Linked DNA regions of Rattus norvegicus. The protein of the gene in region 1 interacts with the protein of each later gene in a pairwise test. Links are inferred from orthologs where the notes say so. Each region holds a gene or a part of one and is shown on either strand. Other genes may lie near its edges.

The links. The genes of interacting proteins can lie anywhere in the genome.
Region 2: the proteins of Creb3 (region 1) and Sft2d2 interact in a two-hybrid assay, tested with the Homo sapiens proteins (2 studies listed by BioGRID and IntAct). The two-hybrid records come from large-scale screens. The link is inferred for Rattus norvegicus from reciprocal best matches to the Homo sapiens genes CREB3 and SFT2D2.
Region 3: the proteins of Creb3 (region 1) and Fis1 interact in a two-hybrid assay, tested with the Homo sapiens proteins (2 studies listed by BioGRID and IntAct). The two-hybrid records come from large-scale screens. The link is inferred for Rattus norvegicus from reciprocal best matches to the Homo sapiens genes CREB3 and FIS1.

The regions. Positions count from the first base shown.
Region 1 is NC_086023.1:62,612,123-62,616,461, forward strand, and holds the start of Creb3 (cyclic AMP-responsive element-binding protein 3), read left to right. Parts: upstream 1-1,529; 5' UTR 1,530-1,686; coding exon 1,687-1,863; intron 1,864-1,948; coding exon 1,949-2,105; intron 2,106-2,179; coding exon 2,180-2,250; intron 2,251-2,355; coding exon 2,356-2,445; intron 2,446-4,339. UniProt on the Homo sapiens protein: Endoplasmic reticulum (ER)-bound sequence-specific transcription factor that directly binds DNA and activates transcription. Plays a role in the unfolded protein response (UPR), promoting cell survival versus ER stress-induced apoptotic cell death.
Region 2 is NC_086031.1:80,034,330-80,038,375, reverse strand, and holds the start of Sft2d2 (vesicle transport protein SFT2B), read left to right. Parts: upstream 1-1,231; 5' UTR 1,232-1,242; coding exon 1,243-1,305; intron 1,306-4,046. UniProt on the Homo sapiens protein: May be involved in fusion of retrograde transport vesicles derived from an endocytic compartment with the Golgi complex.
Region 3 is NC_086030.1:25,346,518-25,350,902, reverse strand, and holds the start of Fis1 (mitochondrial fission 1 protein), read left to right. Parts: upstream 1-1,570; 5' UTR 1,571-1,659; coding exon 1,660-1,704; intron 1,705-2,473; coding exon 2,474-2,606; intron 2,607-4,385. UniProt on the Homo sapiens protein: Involved in the fragmentation of the mitochondrial network and its perinuclear clustering. Plays a minor role in the recruitment and association of the fission mediator dynamin-related protein 1 (DNM1L) to the mitochondrial surface and mitochondrial fission.

The sequences.
Region 1 (4,339 bases):
GAAACCCTGTCTCCCAGTGATGGTGGCCCCTGGAAGTCTTGGGCTTAGGCAGGAGAGTAAAGAAAGTGGAGTCCCAGATGCTGGCAGTTCTAGCTGACATCCAGAGCTCTGTCATCTCTTTGGATAAAAGGAGCCTCTGTGATCACACAGGAATAAGAGAGCTCACTACAAAACAAAGGCAGCTACTTGCTGCCCAACTTCTTACATTTTACCTGTTCAGCTGTAGCTGCAGCCTTGACTCTGATGCTATCACTAATTCCTAACATTAATCCTGACTTTATTTTGTATCCTAATTCCCTATATTTTGACACTTACCCCTTTCCTAGCACACAACCATACTAATCTGGCTTTTATTTTTAGGCCCAAATCCCCTAACTTTAACCCTAAATACTGCCCCTCTCCCCAGTCCTAAAGCTCATTTCTACCTTGATTCTTAATTCACCTTCTCACTGTTTATTCTTAATACTGACCATGACAATGGCCTTTAATCCCTGAAACGAGCTTCTAAGCCAATTCCTGTTGTTGATCCTTAACCCGATCCTGTACACTGACTTATGCTGGTCATTCCAGAAAATAATGACCTCAGTTTAAATGTCACAAACACGAAAGAGACTTGACTCATGCATGTTTAAAATGTAGTCCAGCTTCTTAACTTCTAATGGGATCCTTGCTTCCTAAACCCGACGCACCTAACTCAAACTCACCCAAAGTTTTCCTAACCACATACTCACTATCGGCTAACACCAAAGCCCATCCCCGCCCAATGCCTCACTGCCACCCCATTTCTACCCGTCCCAAAAACTATCCGAGACAGAGAACTGTCTACTCCCGCGAAAAGGGCCTGTCTCTCGCAACACGGCTGGCTTAATTTCAAACCTAAACTGAAACGTACTGTACCCTGACCTCCCCAACCGGACACAGGATATGCAAGAGGATTGGGGGCCCCGCCCGCCGCTTCCCGGGCCGGCCTGATCCCGCAGCCCCACCTAGAACCTCAGCCCAGCCCGTCCGGCCTACCTGCGCTGCCCAGCTCTGCGCCCCGCCCTGGGCCCGCTACCCGCTCGTTCTCCCGGTCGCTTTGGGGCTCCGGCCTCGCCCTCCCTTCGACACACTCTCGTCCACTTCCGTCCTGGAAACGTCCCCCACCCGCCGGCGGTCCGCTCTATGGTCGCAGAGACTGCAGGAAGCTGCTCTGGCCGCAGCTCTCGATGCTCGGGCTCCCGCGAAGCCTGGCCGCCCCTCCCCGGCAGGAAGCGAGGGTGCAGAGCACTGGAGAGAACGCCCGAACTAAACGGGAGTTCCCTTTTAGACTCTTAGGGTTTTTTTAATAGCTCGCGGCGAAGGCGGATCCGGATCCTCAGAATCCCCGCCCTGGGGCGTGGGAAGCTGAAGGGACATCCCCATAATTTGCATAGCCCCTGGGACGTGGCGCACTACACAAGCCACTTCCGAGTTGGAGGGAACTCCAAGTCCCAGGATTCCACGGGACTATGTGCATCACTTCCGTTATGTTGGACGCTGAGGGGAATAGAAGCTGAGAGGCGGGTGTGGCATATAGAGTAACAGCTAGGCCCTGGTCCGGGAGTGACTAAGGTTAAGTCGATGCGACTTGACAGACTGAGGGGTCGTGCCTAAGGTTCGGAGATTGGATCTGCGCAGAGGAGTTTCTATCCATAAATATTCCAAATGGATCCTGGTGGTCAGGACCTGCTAGCTTTGGATCCTGGTGATCAGGACCTGCTAGCTTTGGATCCTGGTGATCAGGACCTGCTGGGCTTCCTGCTAGAGGAAAGTGGAGATTTGTGGGCTGCGACTGAGCAGGACATAGAGACTCCCCTGGACTTGGAGCTGTCGCCTTCCGAGGTGGGTGGGTGTTCTGAGTGGGGAAGCTAGCGATGTCCCTGAGACCCAAGGTACAGAGATAAAACAAGGCCTTTGATTTTGTTAGAACTCCGTGCAAGAATTGAGCGACTGGGAGGTAGAGGATTTACTGAGCTCTCTGCTCAGTCCCTCGTCATCGCCGGATGTTCTCAACTCTTCTAGTTCTTCTATTCTCCATGATCACAACTATTCCCTTCCACAGGAGCACGTCTCCATAGATCTAGGTGAGTGTGAAATGTTAAGTTATGGGGAAAGAGAGAGCTCACTGAACTTGCTAGCCCTACTTTCGCTTTTGCAGATCCTGGGAGCTTTGAAAAGGAGGGGTTCCGCATGAATCCATTGCGTGTGGAGGAGACAGCAGCAGAGCAGGTACTGGGCTTGGTGTTTCAGGATTACCTCACTTTGCAGCGGCCAAGAATCCCCCATACTGCTCTGACATCACCATGCAACTCTGCTCTCTTCCTCCAACCTTAGGAACTTTCTACACTGATACTGACGGAGGAAGAGAAAAGGCTTTTGGAGAAGGAGGGGCTCACTCTGCCCTCAACACTTCCTCTCACTAAGGTAAGGCTTCTGGTAGTAGAGCAAAAGCTGGAGGGGGATTGTATAACCCAAGTAGGCAAACTCAGTTTATTTCATATCGATCACTTACAAAAGGACTGAGGTCAGAATGGAAGCTGATAGTGGGAACCTGGGACGAGCAGATACCAGGGTAGATCCTGGTCTTGTGGCGCTGATATACATTTTGGCGTTCCTTTCAAAATTATCAGTGTATGGCTTTGTAGGAAAAGGCCTTGCTTAACTCCCAGGACCCACGTGATGGAAGGAGAGACCCCCATGTACAAAAGATAATTTTTTTTTTTTGTTCTTTTTTTCGGAGCTGGGGACCGAACCCAGGGCCTTGCGCTTCCTAGGTAAGCACTCTACCACTGAGCTAAATCCCCAGCCCCAAGATAATTTTTTAAATGTAGAGTAACTTTAGAACAGAGCCTTGAAAGGGCCTTCAAATGATGGCCTTGACAGATTTCGTTGCTATCTTGGGACTTCGCCTTTTGCTCAGTGGTAGAGTAGATATGCTGGAGAGGCTGAAGCAGTCTAACAACAATAGTTGTTACAAAGCTGTAACAAAGTTGTAACAAAGCTGGACTTGAGGGGCTCACACTGCCATAACCCTAGAGGCAGAGGCAGGAAGGTCCTCCCACGCTCAAGGTCACTTCCCAAGTGAAAGCATACTGCATCTAGTTTTTGTGCCCCTTTTATTGTCTTACTTCTTTTGTTATGTATGTACTGACTTATTTGGGACAGGTGGATCAGGAGTTAAAGGCCAGACTTCGCTTCATGTTGAGTTTAAGCAAGCCTGGCCCACATGATAAACCCTCTCCTATCCCTCTCCTGCCATTACGAGATGAATGAGCAGTATAGTAGTTAATAGGAAAGAAAATGGAGTTTTGGAATTATCAATAGTGGCTCCGTCCCTAGGACAGTAACTGTCTTGTCCTCCTTTACACTGGCCAAAGCATACCATAATTCTCCTACCCCTGGGATTGGAATATAGCACCTCTGGAATACTCACCAAGTGCTCTACCACTGGCTACGCCCTCCAGCCCTGGTTTGTAAGGCAGGGTCTTGTAAGCCCAGGCTGGGCTGGCCTCACACTGTGTCGTAGGTAAAGAATGCCTTTGAATTCCTGGTTCTCCTGCTTCTAGCTTCCTAGGACCAGATTACAAGTGTATGACATCACTCCTGGCTACTGTCCAGGTTTGACAAGCATTATCAGAGACTATGAGAGTTAACTTTATTCAGTTTTAATTTCTGAAAAAAAAAGAGTTTAAAGTACTTAAGATAAAGATGTTCTATATCATTCTAGAGAGCCTAGGAAAATCCAATGGGTGGAAACTAGAAGATTGATGTGGGTTTAGGATAAGGATGGTGGTAGTTGTTAGTTCTGAGACATAGTCTTCTGTAGTTCACTCAGTCTGTCCTGAAAACTACCCTAACCAAGGATGGTCTTGAAATCCTGACCTCCTTCCTCTTCCTCCCAAGTGCCGATATTACAGGCATGTACAACCACACCTAGCTTAGGAGGAACTTTTTAAATTAATTGGCAGCTGTAAAGATGGCTTAGTGGTTTAGAGCACTTTCTGCTCTTCCGTGGGGCGTGAGTTCCAGTCCCAGCACCCACATGGCAGCTCACAATTATCTGTAACTTCAGTCCCAGGAGATCTGTCATTGTCCTCTAGCCTGTGTGGGCACCAGGCACACACATTATACATATACATTATACAGACATGCAGGCAAAACACCTATACACATAAAAATAAGAAAACTCTGGCTTTTAAGTGCTGGACACGTGTCCTGTGGAGATGTCCACACAGAAGGTGAATGCCTATTGGCAGAAAAGCTGTGGAGAGAATTTCATTGGGAAGGTTAGCTGCCATCCAACACACCTATGTAATAT
Region 2 (4,046 bases), on another chromosome or scaffold:
CACTTTACAGAGGAAAACAGCTGGGGATCAGAAAGGCTGAGGAGCTAATTGCTCAAGGCCACATAAGTGGCGAATGACAGAGGAGTTGCGATTCCCAGATTTTCTAGACTCCAGTGGATGGTCTCTGCACTGGGCACTGTTTGATGTTTTACAGAGATGTGTAAGAACTCACTGGAGAACGTGGCAGGTAAGAGGCACCCCGGCAAAGGCAGCAGCACCTTAAAGGTCTTATGTATTTATACAGCGAAGAAGCACACTGGAGAACTTAAAAGATGATATGTGGATTCTCCCTGCAGTATTCCCACTCTCGAGTCTCGGAGGGAGGAGGAGGTAACACGATTTAGTAGATGTTTTTGAAGTTCCTCTGTGGTTTCCTTTCCCTTTTTTGGGAAGCAGGGACAGTAGTGGGAACTGAACCCAAAAGCCTTGCATATAAGCTAGGCAAGCATTCTCTCACTGAGCTACATCTCAGTGCTTTTTCTGAACCAATTTACTCTTAACATAGGCGTTCCAGATATCCCCAGCAACCAGCGTGCAAGGTGAGCAAATTTCTGTCCTGTCTGGAAGATCCCTCGACTTCATATGCATTCTGCTCCATAGCCTCAGTAGTGCTGCAGACTGATTAAAGAAAAGCATTTATGGAACACAACAGTATTGATTCTCACCATTTGTTATCCGTTCTCAGGCATTGTCCAAGTCATACCTCCCGAGCCATTTCCCCTAGGAATTACGTAGGAATTCCTGCTTTTATGAATACGCTGCTACAGCCTGTTGCACACTGATTTGTTCCACTTAGCATGGGGAAAAAAATCTATATTTATAATTAATTAATTAATTAATTAATTAATTAATTAATAGATCTGCGGTGTACACTCAACCACCGGCGGATTAACTTCAGCATCCATGGATAAGTCTGCAAAAGGCCTGCTTTCTTCCAGGCCCTGGCACAATGTGGTGCTGGGCGCTGGAAAGAATCCATGGAGGCCGGGAGCGCAGCCAGCTTTGGAGTTAGGTATCGCCGGTCTGACCTCACCCCAACTCTCCGGCCCCGCCCCAGGTGACCCCTAGGATCTCACCCAGGGGGCGTGGCTGGCGCGGGGCATGCCGGGCGGGCAGGTGGGCAGGTGTCTGGGCGGGGCGTGTCGTGGTTGGCGGCGGGCGGAGGGGCGGAGGGGCGGTGGCTGGTCACCCGGAAGAGTGGTCGGCAGAGCGAACGCCGAAGGCGGCGGTCCGAGCCTTGACATGGACAAGCTGAAGAAGGTGCTGAGCGGCCAGGACACCGAGGACCGCAGCGGTCTGTCCGAGGTGAGTGCAGCCGGGGAAGTTGGCATTTCTTGGAAAGCTGTCCTGCTCTCCTCCCGCCCGCGGCGCCGAGCTCTGCTGGGACACAGCCACAGGTGGCAGCGCGGGGCTCTTTGTGGAAGGCGTGGCTCCCGAACCCTCCCCAACATTCCCTCCGAAGGGCTTGGGGCTCTGAAGACCTCAGAAGTCTGTGGAGTGGGAGTGTGGGCCCCGGGGCCTCCGGACTCCCCCTCCCCCCCCCCCCGACTGGCCAGGGAAAGCCCTTAGGAGTTGGGCGAGGCCGGCGGCCTTGGTGGAAGGATCCGCGGTCGGATCGCGGACTGGTTTAGGTTGTGGGGTGTGAGATACAGACCTTATGCATACTGCTTTGTAATTTGTAAAACTCTGAACGCCTGACAACAGGGACCTACTTGGTCTTTGAGTCTCCAAGGTTACTTCCTAGACTATAGATTCCCAGCGAGACCGGAGATCGCCAGTGTGTTTGTTTTATTAGTAGAGCTTTGATGGCTCTGAAACTTGCCCACTAAGGCCCCGTGCTCCAGAGCGACTCAGAAAGTCATATTTTAGGTGCTTTGGAAGTTGGTTTACATTTCCTTCCTTGAAGACAGAATTGCGTTTTACTTAATGTACCTTTAGTCCCCGTTTCCCCTTCTGAGAAAGAAGGTTGTTGAACAAGATGCTATAACCCTTTCCCCTTGGAAATTGGAGTTCCTCTTTAATGCTTACTTGTTTTTTTGTGATTTTCCCAACATTTCTGCTTTCACTCACTTCTATGTTGATTTTGTTTTTGTGTTTGCAAAAACACAACTACACCTCAAAGGGAATAAGAAATTAATTTGAAGCAAAATAGGAGTCACCATGGCCCCAGGACAGATTCAGGTTACTGCAAATTCAGTGTTCCAACATGATAACAATTTGATAAGTTCTGAGAGTAATAGAACAAAGTAATAACTTAAGGTTCTTTTCAGACGCATCAGTGGAAGCATAAACAGGCAGTTAAGGCAGCGTGGAGGAATCTCAGCTGTAGCTCGGAGAGGCTGGTTGATGGCATTCTAAAACCTTATTAAGTTAATAAATTCCAAGGTTTTTTCTCCCTAGTAGTTACAGGTAGGTTAGTCACTGTTACATCAACACAGGTAGGCAAGAAATGACTGCGGGGGGGTGGAGGTGGGGGTGGGGGGAGGAGGGGGGTTGAGAGTTGGGGGTGGGGTTGGGGGGTGGGGCTAACCATAGCACAAGATTAGTTGCAGTTAGGCTCTGGAGCTGCAACTTCCCAACCTCTGCATGATCATTAAAATTCAAATCAGTGGGCTGGGGATTTAGCTCAGTGGTAGAGCGCTTACCTAGGAAGCGCAAGGCCCTGGGTTCGGTCCCCAGCTCCGAAAAAAAAAAAAAAAAAAAAGAACCAAAAAAAAAAAAAATTCAAATCAGTGATTTTCATGTTTTAATTTTTTTTTTTTAAATTCTGGCTTCTCGTGAACTTTCATATGAAATGAAGCCAAAGAATGTTCCAAGACTTTAGTTGACCCTCTTATCACGTAAAGATAAGCTCTGTAGAAGTTACACACTGTGGTAGTCTTAGGGGAGACTGGTGGAGGGTGCAGTGTTGCCTGTGAGGTGGTGTTCACCTGTAGCAGTGGGCTGGCTTTCAGGAGTGAATAGTGTAGCCCCATTTGAAAACAAATCGCCTAGTGGTCCCTCCCCATTCACCCCCTTTTTCCTAAATGGTGAATGCCTGTGTTGGATACAGTGAAGGGCTTTGATCTCCACTTAAACTCAGGCATATGTTACACCTATTTTTAAAAGATTGTGGCTTCACTCGTTTGGAAATATTCTCAGTTTCCTCTTTCCTAGTAAGATTCCTGTTGATTGTGTCATCCTGTGGCCATTTCCAGGTCTTGAGCCCCAGGAAATGTTCTGTAGCCAATAGGGTTCCCATGGTTTTGAGCCTGGAAAAACTGAAGGATTCTGTGGTTAAATTCCTGTTTGTGTGGTTAGCTGGATGGGGTTGCTTTCAAGGCTCTTCAGTTCTGTAACCTGTAAGAGGTTATCAGAAAAGTTAAAAAATTTTTTCTAATTTATTTTAATGCCAATAGAAAAGTATGGCCGGTTGTGGTGGCGCACGCCGGTAGGATTTGCTGAAGGAGGCAGAGGCAGGAGGATCACGAGTTCGAGGCCAGCCTGGGCTACACATTTTGGGGCTGGGGATTTAGCTCAGTGGTAGAGCGCTTGCCTAGCAAGCACAAGGCCCTGGGTTCGGTCCCCAGCTCCGAAAAAAAAAAAAAAAGAAAAAAGAAAAAAGAAAAGTATGAAAACTTCTGTCTCCTGTCCCTCCTAGGTAGCTGTAAAGTGGCAGGACCCACACACACAAACAGCCTTATGACATGAGTCTTTGAATTAACACCCGCCGTCATAATCACACTTAAGTCCTGGTTTCAGTGGAGTCCTTTCTGAAAGAACAGGCTTTCTGTTTTCTGGGCGGGGTTCTCGGGACAAGGAAGGCCTGAAGGATGCCTAATCATACCTCACAGGCGTAAAACAGCATTCCTTTCTTACCGGTTGCCAGGCTCAGCTCCCTGGACCGCCCTTAGCTAGAGCTCTTGGCAGCAGCCTCTCTTCTTCTCCATCCTGGAGTCAAAGGCACCTTTGTGCGTGACAGCCAGTCAGACAGCTTGGGAGCACACCCCCTACACATTCTATCTAGGTACCGCTCTAGCCGTTTTGAGCTTTGCAAAAAGCTCCGT
Region 3 (4,385 bases), on another chromosome or scaffold:
TGGTCTACAGAGCTAATTCTAGTACAGCCAAGGCTACAAACATGCACGAGTGCATGCGCATGTGCGCACACGCACACACACACACTCATTGGAGAGAGAGAGAGAGAGAGAGAGAGAGAGAGAGAGAGAGAGAGCTCGGAAAGCAAGCCAGTAAGCAGCGCTCCTCCGTGGCCTCTGCATCAGTTGCTGACTCCAGGTTCCTGCCCTGCTTGAGTTCCTGTCCTGACTTCCTTTGATGATGGACTATGGTGTGGAAGCATGAGCCCAATTCCTCCCCAAGTTGCTTTGGTCATAGCATTGTTATCCTAACAACAGTAACCTTAACTAAAGACAGTGAGAGAATTTGTGTCAAAAAAGAACAAAAGCAAGGAACCAGGTGGTTGGCACCTAAGGAGCAGTGTATGAGGCTGACTTCTGGCCTCCATATGTCTGCATGCACACACAGGGCTTGGGGAGTGAGAGACAGCAATTAAAGCCATGCAAACACAAAAAAGGGTGTTGGTGATTGGTGATAACTTTCTTCTTATTTTATTCAACAAAAATGTATTATGCTGCTGGTTGTGGTGGTATACAGCTTTGAGCCCAACACTTAGGGGGCAGAGACAGGCAGATCTCAGTTAAAGACCAGCCAAGGCAGCATAGAAACACCCTGTCTCAAAAAGAAACGTACAACCAAAAAAAAAAGTGTGTGAGTCTTTGCTATGAGTCTTAGATTCCATGTGTGACCAAAGGTCAAGATGAAAGATCCAAAGAATCACTAGCCAGTATCGCTCCCAATACGAAAATCTCAGAAATTAGCGTTTGCCTCTTGCTTCTCCTCAGGCTGAAGGCCTCGGGTTTGCTAAATCATATTCGAAAGCCCTGACCCTGCAAGGGATAATTGTATTTTATTTTTAATTATGTGTATGTATATGTGTCTGCATGAGGACGTATGCACGGGAGGACGAGGTCAGAAGAGGGCACTGGGTCCCCTTGGAGCTGGAATCCAGGCAGTTGTGAGCCACACCATGTGGGGGCGGGCAACTGAGCAAGCTCCTGCAAGAGAGCCATGGGGCTTTAACCCCTGAACTGTTCCCTGGCCCATCAGCTTTTCTTCAGAATCCTATTAAAAGTGTCTGTCCAGGGGTTGGGGATTTAGCTCAGTGGTAGAGCGCTTGCCTAGGAAGCGCAAGGCCCTGGGTTCGATCCCCAGCTCCGAAAAAAAAAAAAAAGAACCAAAAAACAAAACAAAAAAACAAAAAAAAAAAAAGTGTCTGTCCACTGTGATCATGTGACCCAAGTTTGCGGGGAGGGGGGTTGGAAGGGGACGGGGTGGGGTGTATTCCTCTTGCTTTGTGTTAAATTGAGGTCCTCCAGCCCCTGGTACTCATTGTGTTTTTATTGCAAACATTGAAGATATTTCAGGGTCTTAGAGTGGGGGGTTGTTAAATTGGTCCCTAGGATAATGTGATCCTTGGAGGATCTAGGACAGCAGGGGAGTCCAAAAAGAGCAAAAGTTCCCAGCGTAGGCATTAGCGCCACCGCTGGCCCCAAGGCACAAGAGGAAGGGGCGGGGCCTCAACAGGTCGATGCCGGAAGTGCCTCTCCGCCCCTGCTACTGGACCATGGAGACCGTGGCCCAGTAGAGACCTTAGTGTGAGGCTTGCAGGGGTGGCAGCCATGGAGGCTGTGCTGAACGAGCTGGTGTCTGTGGAGGATCTGAAGGTAAGGTCTGGGCCGGAGGAAGGACGAGGGCAGAATCGGAAAGGGCAGTTCCTGAGGAGAGCTGACCGAAGCCGAACAGTGCCGGTTTCGTCTTTCTAGGAGAGCCGAACTACGACTCCCATCAGCCTCTGCGACATCCTGCCTCTTGTGGGAATCTGCGCCGTGTCCCTGAGCCTGATGGGAGTTGTAGTTTCCAGGGTTTCGGCAACTCAGACCTAGGCCTGGGGTCTTCGTGTGATGCAGAGCTGGGAATTTGGGGTACTCGTGCAAGGATGAAGTAGCATAGTCCCTGGTGTAAACTTTCGCTAGTGTTTAGTCCCTCAAGGTGCTATTTTTACCACATCCTTGTAGCTGTGTTTTCTTTCCTCTCCTAGAATTAAAGTAAGGCAGACCCAGGTCCGAAGAGTAGAGTAGGACGGGACTAGCAGCCTCAATTGAAAGGCCATGTAGGAGGTCATTTAGCTCTGGGACAATATGTTTACTCTTCAGCCACTTGAGGTCAGCTGGTTCGGTTGCCATGCCTGCAGCTTCCACCAGGTGGCATCTCCTCTTGGTACCACTAGGGGCTGGGTTCAGGGACCTTCTAAACATGAGCATGGGACACAGGGATGGAGATGACAGAAGTTAGACATCCGAGTACCAAGATCTACAAGGGAAAGGTGACAGATAGGAAAATGTGGTCTAACTGGGATTTAGACTCCAAGATAGCTAGAGAATGGTGGGTGGATGCCCATTGTTTCTAAATGATTGCTCTTCTCTCTGATGACAGAATTTTGAAAGGAAATTTCAGTCTGAGCAGGCAGCTGGCTCTGTGTCCAAGAGCACGCAGTTTGAATACGCCTGGTGCCTGGTTCGAAGCAAATACAATGACGACATCCGTAGAGGCATCGTGCTGCTGGAGGGTAAGGTGCTGGCTCCCCACTTGCAGCCACTAGCCAGTCTGCCCCCTACTGTCCTTGACCTCACCCCTCCAGGACCCTTTCTGTCATGGAACCCCCACCTTATAACACATTCATCCCTCAGTAACCACCAGAAAATCCACAGCAGCAAAAGGCCAGGCTGGCTCTCTACATCCCCAATTTCAGCATCTGAACATTGGTTCAGATGGGAAATGCTGTGAGAGAAAAATGTTCTCAGGCTGGGGAGATGACTCAGTGCATTCTGTCCAGGCATGGAGACCTGAGTTCAAATCCCCAGCACCCACAACAAAAGCTGAGTGTGGCTATAAGTGCCTGTGTAGGGAGTAGCACTGGAGTGAGCAAGAGAATGCTTAGTCAGACCCTTTCTCTGGGGGATGGTGTGGAGGGGGAAGCAAGAGGCCAGACGTCCTCTGGCCCCTGTGCTTCCATTTGCACACACGCAGTAAACAGAACAGCTCTGGCCTAGCTACTAGTTGCTGTTACTATGCATTTGTATTGTATTGGATAGCAGAAAGTTCTAGAGATTTAAAGTGGCTGAAGGGCTGGTGGCATCAAGGACATGTGATCCAAGCACTCCAAAGACGTAGGGACATAGTTCAGTAGTCATTGACTGGGGAGATGGAGGCAGGAAGATGAGAAGTTCAAGGCCATGTCAGCTACCTACTGACCAAATTTGAGGTCAGCCCGTGCTACACAAGCTTCCTCTCTCAAAAAAAAAAAAAAAAATCTTTGGGGAATACAAGTAGGTTCTGTGCAAACACTGTTTAATTGTAGAGATTATATTAGTTTTATGATGGGCCTTCCAGCTATAGACTTTGAATGGGGGAGCATTGGCATCACCCCAGAGGCTATCAAGGGACAATAGTAACAAAAGACTGCTCTATCCCTTAGTCATTTTTGATTTTGACCCAGGACTCTGCATCCTGCTTCAGCCACCTTACTGCTGGGAACTCAGGGGTGCCCCCAGCTCTGGCGTCTTTGTAAAAGCAAATGCTGGCCCCTGCTTTGATGAGTTAGGACTTAGGTTTCTCCTGTAGTAGAGCACAGCAGTGGAGGTGGCCTCAGAGCATTTGAGTCTTCTGTGGGGACACAGTGCAGACACTGAGGAGGCTGCAGCTCTGCACAGCTAGTGCCCAAGCCTGGACAGCATAGTGAGTCCCTGTCCTAACACACGGGGGCACACAGACACACATGGACACACACACACACATGGACACACACACACATATACACATACACACATATTGACACACAGAGGGGGCGGGAATGAGGGTCACTCAAGGAAGCTGAGCTAAGAGAAGGGGGCAAGTTGTGGACCTAGAGTGGAGGCATGAGCCTTTAATCCCAGCACTCTGGAGGCAGGGGCAGGAGATCTCCGTGTTCAAGGTCAGCCTGGTCTGCAGAGTGAGCTGCAGGACTACACAGTGAATCCCTGTCTCAAAAACAAAACAAGAGCTCAGTCTGTAGCATACCTGTCTGCTGTGTATGAAACCCTGGTTTGATTCCCTTCCCAGCACTGCATAAGCCAGCCGTGGTCCTGTACCACTCAGAAGGCAGCGGCAGGAGGAGCAGAAACTCAGGTCATCCTCAGCAAGACAATGAACTAAAAGAGGGACTGTGAATGCCAGGCAGGAGGTGGCCTTGCAGTGGGACCTGTAGCTGACCAGTGGAACGCACCCGTCCATGCAGACCTCGGTGCTGGTTCCTGCCTTCCACCGCAGCTGTCTGACAGGCTCATGCTGCCCTTGGTTTGTGACTAGA